Arabidopsis thaliana: one gene and its partner. The protein of the gene in region 1 interacts with the protein of each later gene in a pairwise test. Each region holds a gene or a part of one and is shown in the gene's direction. Other genes may lie near its edges.

Evidence for each region. The genes of interacting proteins can lie anywhere in the genome.
Region 2: the proteins of AT5G03990 (region 1) and ckl10 interact in a two-hybrid assay, tested with the Arabidopsis thaliana proteins (one large-scale study listed by BioGRID).

What each region holds. Positions count from the first base shown.
Region 1 is NC_003076.8:1,073,709-1,078,091, forward strand, and holds AT5G03990 (FK506-binding-like protein), read left to right. Parts: upstream 1-1,962; 5' UTR 1,963-2,248; coding exon 2,249-2,351; exon of another isoform or gene 2,352-2,554; intron 2,555-2,844; coding exon 2,845-3,650; 3' UTR 3,651-3,841; downstream 3,842-4,383. Other genes in the region: AT5G03980 (SGNH hydrolase-type esterase superfamily protein), read right to left, coding at 497-1,324, 1,438-1,581; AT5G03995 (uncharacterized protein), read right to left, coding at 3,853-4,047.
Region 2 is NC_003074.8:8,349,141-8,354,549, forward strand, and holds ckl10 (casein kinase I-like 10), read left to right. Parts: upstream 1-1,662; 5' UTR 1,663-1,906; coding exon 1,907-1,982; intron 1,983-2,091; coding exon 2,092-2,132; intron 2,133-2,343; coding exon 2,344-2,413; intron 2,414-2,501; coding exon 2,502-2,650; intron 2,651-2,745; coding exon 2,746-2,841; intron 2,842-2,928; coding exon 2,929-2,999; intron 3,000-3,128; coding exon 3,129-3,190; intron 3,191-3,302; coding exon 3,303-3,366; intron 3,367-3,458; coding exon 3,459-3,543; intron 3,544-3,639; coding exon 3,640-3,766; intron 3,767-3,856; coding exon 3,857-3,930; intron 3,931-4,039; coding exon 4,040-4,103; intron 4,104-4,199; coding exon 4,200-4,318; intron 4,319-4,420; coding exon 4,421-4,651; 3' UTR 4,652-4,881; downstream 4,882-5,409. Other genes in the region: AT3G23330 (Tetratricopeptide repeat (TPR)-like superfamily protein), read left to right, coding at 1-207; AT3G23350 (ENTH/VHS family protein), read left to right, coding at 4,961-5,070, 5,153-5,275, 5,354-5,409. UniProt on the Arabidopsis thaliana protein: Casein kinases are operationally defined by their preferential utilization of acidic proteins such as caseins as substrates. It can phosphorylate a large number of proteins.

The sequences.
Region 1 (4,383 bases):
ACGACGGACAAGATTTAAGGGATAATCGAACGGTCAAAATTATAAACTACGGGACAGATTTCGTTTTTTTTTTTTTTTGACAAGCGACGAAGATTTTTCTTTCTTTCAAATTGTGTTTTTCTCTATATTCGATTCGAGATTAAATTCTGAAATATTGTTCTTTTTTTTTTTTTCTCTTTTGTGGCATGAACATAATTGTTTTCTTTTGTTCTAGGAATGTCATTTGTCACTTTTGTTAATGCAATTGAGAAATTTGAGGTTGCAGTTAGGTATGCATTTAAAATAAGATTGTCTAGTAGAAATTGGACTTACGATTTATATGATCTTCATAAGTAAAAAAGGATGCTAACATATTTTAAAAAATCTGTTGTTCAAAAAAAAAAAAAACATATCTTAAAAAATCAATAAAATCTAAGGATGTAAGATATTATTACAAATAGTAGAGATTTATAACTTAACAAAAAATCGAGGAGGGACTAAAAAATAACGCTCGTAATTAAGCCCTAGTACACTTGATCTGTGAAAGAATCTGATTGTTCAAGAACTTAGACATGAATCTATAAGCCTTTTGAGTCAAGTGCACTCCGTCCCAACTTATGAACTTGTGTGGATTCTGACACACCGGAACTCCCACTGCTCCGTATGGCCTCTTTCCGTCGTAGTTGTAAGCTCCACCGGTCCCGCAACACGATTTCAAAGCTACACTCTTGTCGAATCTTTCACTTCGTAGAACGTATTGAAACGCATTGTAGTAATCTCCGTATACTATAGCCACGTCTGGAAACTCTTTTCTCAAAGAAGCTATAGCTTCTTGGAGTTGGTTATTGTGATCCATTGCGAATTCGTTGAGATGCGTCAAGCAACCGTTGTCGTCGTAATCTTTTGTATCTTTCACGGGAAAAGACGTCAAGTAAATCGGAAAACATCCCACTGGAAAGTTTCCCGGGACGACCACGTTAACCGCACCAGCACGGATCACCTCTCTAGCTGCGGCTGTGATGGCTCCAACCACGTGAGGGATGTAGCTTCTGATTTCTTCCATTGGTTTGCCTTGGAAGAAACCGTAGTTGTAGTCGTTGCCTCCTATCTCACCGACCATGAAAAGAGAGTGCTTCAAGCAATCCGAAGAAGAGCCGTGACACGTGGAACGTAGATGACCCTTGAACCAAGCAAGCTGCATGGAGAGAGGAGTGTTTGTTGCCGGAACGTGGAGATTTCTCTCGGAGAAGAAAGAGCTGTTGAGTGCTGTGCTTCCGGAAACTCCGAAGTTAACAAAGACGTTGTGTTCCCGTTGAGGTAAGGGTTTAGGAGTGGGAGATGAAGCCTGCGTGCCAAGTAATCGATCATTAGCAGTCCGTTAGATAGACGACCGGTGGCTTGGTGAAAGTATGTTTGACCGTATGGATAATTAGCGGCGTGAGAAGATCTGGCTCCAACAGGGCCGTTGCGGATTAAGTTTCCAGTGTCGGAGATGGAGTCACCGAATTGGTAGATAGAGTTGATAGGACATTGATCCGATGAATGAACAAGGGACACGAAGAGTATAAACACAAGAAGCGATAATGCTTTGGTCGTAGACATTGTTAGAGAAGTTTGAGAGATTTGTTTGTTGGTTTTAGACAAAGAGAAGGATGAGAGAATTTGTTGCCTATGTGTGTGTATATATAGAGTTTCATAATCTAGCTCCTAGTTAGTCTGTGATTTAGATAGATATATTCAATAATAATTATTGATAGTGATAAATTCAAGAAAAATATTTGATAGAACGAGATCTGAGAAAATATGTCAGAATTTTTATTTTATTTTATATTATTAAAAAACATTATTATTTAATATTTAATCAACTAGAATCAGGCAAAACGAGGCAACGTATCGAAAATTCCTCTTTTTATTAATATCAATATTTTGCCTAAAACAAAAAGGAAATAAATATTAAAACGCTTTCTTTACTTTTTTATTTTCACCTGAAAAATTCGAAATTAAGAATGAAAAAGGAAACGACAAAAAAAAAAGAATGAAAAAGGAAATTTCTAGAGAGAAATCTCTGTGTTCTTTGATTTTTCTTCACCTCATCTTCTTATAAATCATCTGTTTCGTTGCAGAGAGCTCTAAAAGAAACAACAACCTTTCTCTCTGATTATCTTCGCCATTTCTCGTCGAAATTAGGGATTTTGTTCATTAAATCTTCCTGATTTGGAAGGTATTTTCATTGTCTGCTTGAAAAAAATTCAATCTTTGTCGGTTCATTATGAGTAATTGGAGAAGACAAAAACCCAGAAACAACAACAGCAATAATTATAGTCGTCAACGAGGGACGACGATGACGCAATCATCATCAAAGCCACCTCTTGGTATGATCTCTGTTCTCTCCTCTCTGTTTTTTTTCTTTCTTAAATTTGTGATTTTGAGTTGTTCAATTATGTATAACCTTTCGTCGCTTGCAAATCGAGTTCCTTGATGTGTTTCTCATTGGGTTTTCCTCTTTTGTGTTCTTAATTAGGGTTTGTGTTCGTTAAGCAATGTTCGGTCTTTTAATCTCTTCTATGTATTTTAGGTTAGTGAAATTAGAGAATTTGTAATACTAATTGACTCTATCTTTGTTAGGTTTGTGAGTTTTTTTTAATCTTAATTTACTTATGTTTCCTTCTATATACTAATTCCTGCATGTACAGTAGAAATATATGAACTTTAATCTCTTCTATGTATTTTAGGTTAATGAACTTTTGATTCTTAACCCTCTGATTCTTGACAAGTTTATTGTTTGTAGCTTTTGCTTGATCTGTAAGTTATTCTTCATCCTGTGATCAGAATTTCTAACTCTTGGATTCTTATGTTTTTTTGCAGCTAATTGCAAGATCTCTGTTCCAGCGTGGGAGAAGGATTTTTGTGCTGTGATTGGTTCAGTTCCATGGTGGAAAGTTGTAGAGGCCAAGCGGTTTATGCACATATACGATAGAGTGGTCCAATGGGACGACTCAGCTGGTGAAGACGCATTCAAGAACGCTAAATCTCGTTTCTGGGCAGAGATAAATGGTTTAACTTGTGACTTATCTTTGCCTGATCCTGATGTTTACATTGATGATGTTGATTGGGATGCTGAAGTTGACAATGAGTTGATACTTGACCTTGAACGTGGTCCAGACCCTTTAACAGAAGAACAAGAGCATGTTGTGATACTCGATGCTTTGGTTTTATCTGGACAGTATGGCGGGCTTGGTTGGGGAACTGGTTGGGGTGACGCTGAAGGGATTAACGAGGAGAATGTTGGAAAGGGTAAACCAGAAAACTCATGGGGTGATCAGAAATATGATGGATGGAATGAAGATTCTTGGGGGATAAAGGAGAAAACTGAAACTTGGGATCATAACAACAACAACACCAACACTGATTCTTGGGATCATAACAACAACTTCAAAGCTGAAACTTGGGATCAGAAAAACTGCAACAACAACAGCTTCAACTACAAGAAGGTTGAGAATTGGAATGGTAGGGATCAAGGAAGAGAGAACAGAGGGTGGAGAAAGAGAGGAGAAGGGCGACATGGAGGAGAACGAGTGGAGGATTGTCGATGGAGGAATGGGAGAGGGAGAAGCAGAGGCGGGTTTCAGCAACATTCGGCGAATGCATGGGGTTGGACTGAATCCTTCTGAATCAGACACAGAGTCTCTCTTGATAAAACATTTTTTGAGGAAAGAGCTGTAGTATAGTAGGTTTAACTATATAGTGTGAGTGTGTTCCGTGTGTGTGTGTTAGAATCATACTGATGGCTCAAAATTATTTTGTCTAAACGTTTCAGAGGATCTTATCACTTAAAATGATATGCCTATATAAGTTTCTGAGTGATTTTGGAAATTATAATCTAATATACAACTTGTGAATGATAGAGCTCAATTCTTGAATATATACAAAACGCTTGGAGAGTGATGATCGGGAAAATGTACGAGTTTCTCTCATGCCTCTGGCTCGAGAGTTCCACTGTTGGTCATCTTCATGAACCTTTGGAAAGAAAACGAAGAAAGCTTCTGCAGATTTCTCCAAAGAATGTCTCTGCTACATTTTAAAAGATCTTGAGGACTTGTCCTGAAACATAATTGGATCTCAAACTTTTTTTCTACCAAGAATCTCTTACAAAATCTAAATCACAAATACCTCTTGTTTAAGAATATACAGATCGATACTCTTGAATATCAATAGATAACTGAGTCAAAAGAGAAGGAAAACAAAAACAAAAAACTGTTTCGCTAAGTTTAAGAGAAGAGACATGAATTAAGCTTAAGATAACAACACCTAATATGTGAAGTTTAAACACAATATATAAATGATGCATCCATGAAAAACTAACTATATATAAATTAAGCTCATAGAAGCAATTTCTAGTAAAAA
Region 2 (5,409 bases), on another chromosome or scaffold:
AGTGAGAGATTGGCTGTTGCCTTTGGTATCATCAACACAGAACCTGGCACGACAATTAGAGTCACTAAGAATATAAGGATATGCACGGATTGTCATGTCGCAATCAAGTTTATCTCGAAGATCACGGAAAGAGAGATTATCGTTAGGGATAATAGCAGATTCCACCATTTCAACCGTGGAAACTGTTCTTGTGGAGATTATTGGTAATAATGAAGTGTGAAACTTTTTTGACTTCATCTTTTGTTCAGAGACAGAAACGACGTCGCATAGGGAACATATGTTTCATTACACTTATTGTAGTGTTCAACCAATTTATATATTTTTCTATCTCTATAATTTTCTTATAATTAGGAAAAATTAGAACAAATCATGTGGAAATAGACCTAACAATAAAGTATTGTTTTAAAAGTAAAGTGGAATTTGCATGAGTTTTTTTTTGTATTTATTAAACAAACAATATATGGAATGTTTGGACATAAATATATATGATCTGTTGTGTATACAACAACAACAGACAGAAGCTGACCCATGCATACAAAATTTTCACATTATTATTCATTGCCCATAATAAATCATGGCCATTGGATCCCTTTTTGGCACTATGAACATTCATTTTCTATGTAGTGGAAAATCGACTAGTCGTTATACTATTATAAAATATGTTCACTATATATAAAAACCAACAGAATGGATTTGATTGTAAGTCAGTTTTTTTTTTTAATACCACTAAATTATTGCTATTTTTTTTTATTGCAATGTCAATTGGTGATATAGTTCATATTTTTACCGTAGTGGTAAAAAACCCCGAAATTTAGTGTATACATAAAATAGGTATTATATTTCTTGGATCGTTTATATTTGGACTGTTTTTTTTGTCTTACGATTTCTCGATCAATTGTTTGTCCATGATCCTTTTTTCACTATTCTTGCCAATATTGTTTGCTTTGCTTTTCCTATACTTAACATTTCCAAAGGTGCAACTTGCCATAAATTTAGTCTGCGAAGAAAAGCAAAGGATTAGTTGTGCTAATCATCAAACTCTCTGTTTTAAACATTGTTGGCATTTGAGAAGTCGGTAACACAAAGCTTACTTTGCTTTTAGTTTTCTTTGTCTTGTCTTTTCCTTGAATTTGGTTGTGCTTGGTTCTACGTCGATGGTCATGATTTAGCAATTTTCTAAAGAAAGCAAAAACATTCAAGAAACTTTGGCAGCCATCCATGAATATTAAATTCAGCAAGTCCTAGAAATATATTTTGAATAGAGTAGATATCTTTTTTTTTTTGCTCGACAGAAAAAAAGGGAGAGTGGATATAGAGTGGATTTGGTTTATAAATATATACATAAAAGAAAAAATAGGTAAAAATATAGATTTTTTTTTTTAATGAAATTTGCATCACTATGATAAGAAGCTAAAACATCCAATGATCATAGTGTGAGAGAAAATTAAGAATATAGTGACAATTTTTTTAAGGTTTTTGTTTTTGGGTGAATAATATATAATAGGGTGAGAAAGTAATTTGATATATAAAAAAAATGAGTGGGAAAGTAAATTACTAAAATATTATTTAACAATAATTATTTTTATCTGTATCCGTTTATTTTCCCTTTCCCGTGACTTAAAAAATGTTATTAATTATTATGTGTATAAAGAAGAATGAGATAAATAAATAACATCCGTCAAAACCATCTGTCTCTGTTTTCTCATTCATCTCCTCTACTTGTTTAGTCGGTCATCAAACTATCTCTTCAAGTTTATCCTCAGAAATATACAAACTCCTCAGAAAATTCTTTCGTTTGGTTTGCTTCGTTCTACAATTTTGTATTGATGAGAATGTTATATTGAGTCATTAACCGTTTGATAAATCGTATTTGGCTCTGTAAGTAGTATTTATTGGTATTGAAACGATGGATCATGTAATCGGTGGCAAGTTCAAGTTAGGTAGGAAGATTGGTAGTGGATCATTCGGTGAACTTTATATTGGTATATAAAAAATCAATCAGTTTTTTTTTTTTTTTTTTTTTTTTTGGTTCTTTGTTGGTAATTAGTGTGAATTTTGATGTTGATTCACTTTGGTATGTGTGATTCGAAGGGATTAATGTTCAAACTGGAGAAGAAGTTGCTCTTAAGCTGGTATGTTACATATTCAATTTTCAGTTTTCCACTATTAGTGAATCTTGAAACTATGTTGTCACACTATACTTGTATCTGAGGTCATAAGTTTTAAGTTCTTTAGTTTTCTTTAGACTAGCTTTTGTTGAGTATGAACATCTTATTGATTCTTTTGTTTTTGTTCTCTATAATATAGCTGTTGATCTGTTCTTATACATTTCTTTGTTGGTAGGAACCTGTGAAGACAAAGCATCCTCAGCTCCATTATGAATCAAAAGTATACATGCTTCTTCAAGGAGGGAGTGAGTTTTCACTTTTCATTACTCAGCTCATTTCACTTGATGTTTATGTTTCCATTGGTCTAAGTTCTTTGGGTTTTCTTTTGACTAGCGGGTGTTCCGCATATCAAATGGTTCGGTGTTGAGGGTAACTACAATTGTATGGCTATTGACCTTCTTGGTCCAAGCTTGGAAGACTTGTTCAACTATTGCACTCGGAGTTTTTCTTTGAAAACTGTTCTAATGCTTGCTGATCAGTTAGTAAGTATACATACTCTTTCGAGTTCTTGATATCGGGTTAATGTTCGGTTGCGGGATCATTGCTAATGTTTTAGCTCTTTTGAGTATTACTTTAGATAAACAGAGTTGAGTACATGCACTCTCGAGGATTTCTTCACCGTGATATTAAACCGGATAACTTTTTGATGGGTCTCGGTCGCAAAGCAAACCAAGTAGGCTTTCTAGTTTCGTCTTTAGTATGTCGTATGATTGTTCTTAGCATCGAGTCTGGTGTGACGAGTTTTGGATTTCAACCTCAGGTGTACATTATTGATTATGGGCTTGCTAAAAAGTATAGAGATCTTCAGACACACAAGCATATACCTTACAGGTTAGAATACTTCCTTGTTGGTTATTTTGTTTGTGCTTCATTAGAAACTAATGTAGGCAAGTATTGATGTATTCAGGTCTTATGCTTGGTAATTTACTATATGCACTCTTCATGAAACTTTTTTTATAGGGAAAATAAGAATCTGACTGGAACTGCTAGGTATGCAAGTGTCAACACACACCTTGGCATTGGTGAGAAATGTTTCCATGTCACACATTAGAATAGCTTTCATTCTATATTTGTGCAGTAACCGTTAAGCTACTATTTTCCTTCTTTTGAAACATTTCTTATATCTTCTTGCAGAGCAAAGTAGACGAGATGATCTGGAGTCTCTTGGTTATGTTCTGATGTATTTTATACGAGGAAGGTAGGAAACTATCTTGGTTGTGTATTAATAGTGAAATCTTTAAGAAACATGAGATCCTTAAACTTGAGACGGAATACAACTTCTTGTCTCAGTTTACCATGGCAAGGTCTAAAAGCTGGTACTAAGAAACAGAAATACGAGAAGATAAGTGAAAAGAAGATGCTTACTCCCGTAGAGGTACGTCATATATCTACAATAGTGTTTTTGTATTGCGAAAAGACGATGTTTAGCTTTTCTTAAACTTTTCGATAAATATGATTTTGCTGTTTGCAGGTTCTTTGCAAGTCATATCCATCCGAGTTCACATCATATTTCCATTACTGCCGTTCATTGAGGTTTGAGGATAAACCAGATTATTCATATCTGAAAAGACTTTTCAGGGACCTTTTTATTCGGGAAGGTTAGAAACCTCTACTGTATTCTGTCTGACTGTCTCCTTCACCTCTCTATTAAACCGCTCATGAATTACATCAATTGTTAATGCCTTCAGGTTATCAGTTTGACTATGTGTTTGATTGGACAATCTTGAAATATCCTCAGAGTGGCTCTATTTCAAAACCAAGGGTTAGTGTTTTTTTTTTGCATCAACATATGATGATGAAGAAACTTTTAGAAACCGTAAAATACTCTGAAAATCTCATGTTTGTATTATATTGTGTCTCATTTCTATCAGCCAAATCCTAAACCAGCTCTAGACCCTCCAGGACCATCTGCAGAACGAAATGAAAAGCCTATAGGTATAACATTATTTTACATCCTGCAGATAGTAGACATATCTTACGCTGAAATGGTTGAAGTATAAACTCAGAAGTTGATTTCCTATTTTTGTGTAGTGGGGCAGGATCTACGAGAAAGATTCTCAGGTGCAGTTGAAGCATTCGCTAGACGAAATGTACCGAGTCATGGCATTCGCCCGAAGCACATTTTTTCTGATGATGCTTCCAAAGAAGTGGTTAGTTTTCTGTTTGCTATCTTTCTGTTGTGTAGATGACTTTAAAGTTTTCCGGTTGGTATCAATCATGAGAATCATTTTGATGTTTGTTGCAATGCACAGCAAGTGTCTGAAAAAACCCGAAATGAGATTGCTACAAAGATGGCAGTGATGTCTAGCAGCCAACCTGGCTCATCAGGTGAGCTGAGTGAGAACCGCTCAAGTAAACTTTTTTCAAGCAGTGCCCAAAAGATTCAACCGGTGCAAGAAACTAAGTTATCTGCAAGGCTTGGGCGTGATGACGGCCTGAGAAGCTTCGATATGCTTACTATCGGTTCCGGAAAGCGGAAATGAGTCACTCAAGAAAGCTTGCGGATCGGAGTTTGGAAGAATCTGAAAATGTGTAAACAATGTAAAACTGTCTCCCACTTTATGTGTTTATAGTTCTTCATAGAATTTTATAAAGTGGTATATGTAACTTGTAACACAAGTACTTTGTTTATATTAGTTCAAATTTGGTCAAATGCTTGAAATCTATTAATAGACGTCAAGTGTCTCCTGAAGTGTCTGAATCTAAAAATAAGGGTTACCCATGTTTGGTCTGAAGCTATCATTTAAGTTGAATTGTGGAGACAGAATAGACCATCCAATTTCGAAAAATTGATGATGGGGACACTTTGGTTTGGAGATTTCAAGAAACAAGCCTCTTCGTTTATTCAAGACAAGTACAATGTTGCTAGACTTGTCCTCACCGATGTTACCGAAGCTGAGTTGTGAGTAGACTATTAACTTCATTAATTAGCTAATTGATAATACTCCATTAGTGATGGTTAAATTTAACTCTTTCATTCTTAGGTTAGTAGAAGAAGTAACAAATGGTGATCCTTCTTCACCAGACGCTAAAACGATGACGAAAATAGCCGAGGCATCGTTTGATACCGTGGAGTATTGGAGAATTGTGGATGTTCTTCATAGAAAGTATGAATTAGTTTTGTTTCTCTTGAAGATTATTATTATGATTAAGGGATAGCTTAAGATGATGATTATGAAAAACAGGATTGGGAAAGATGAAAGAGAGATAAAGAATTGGAGAGAAGCGTACAAGGCAATGG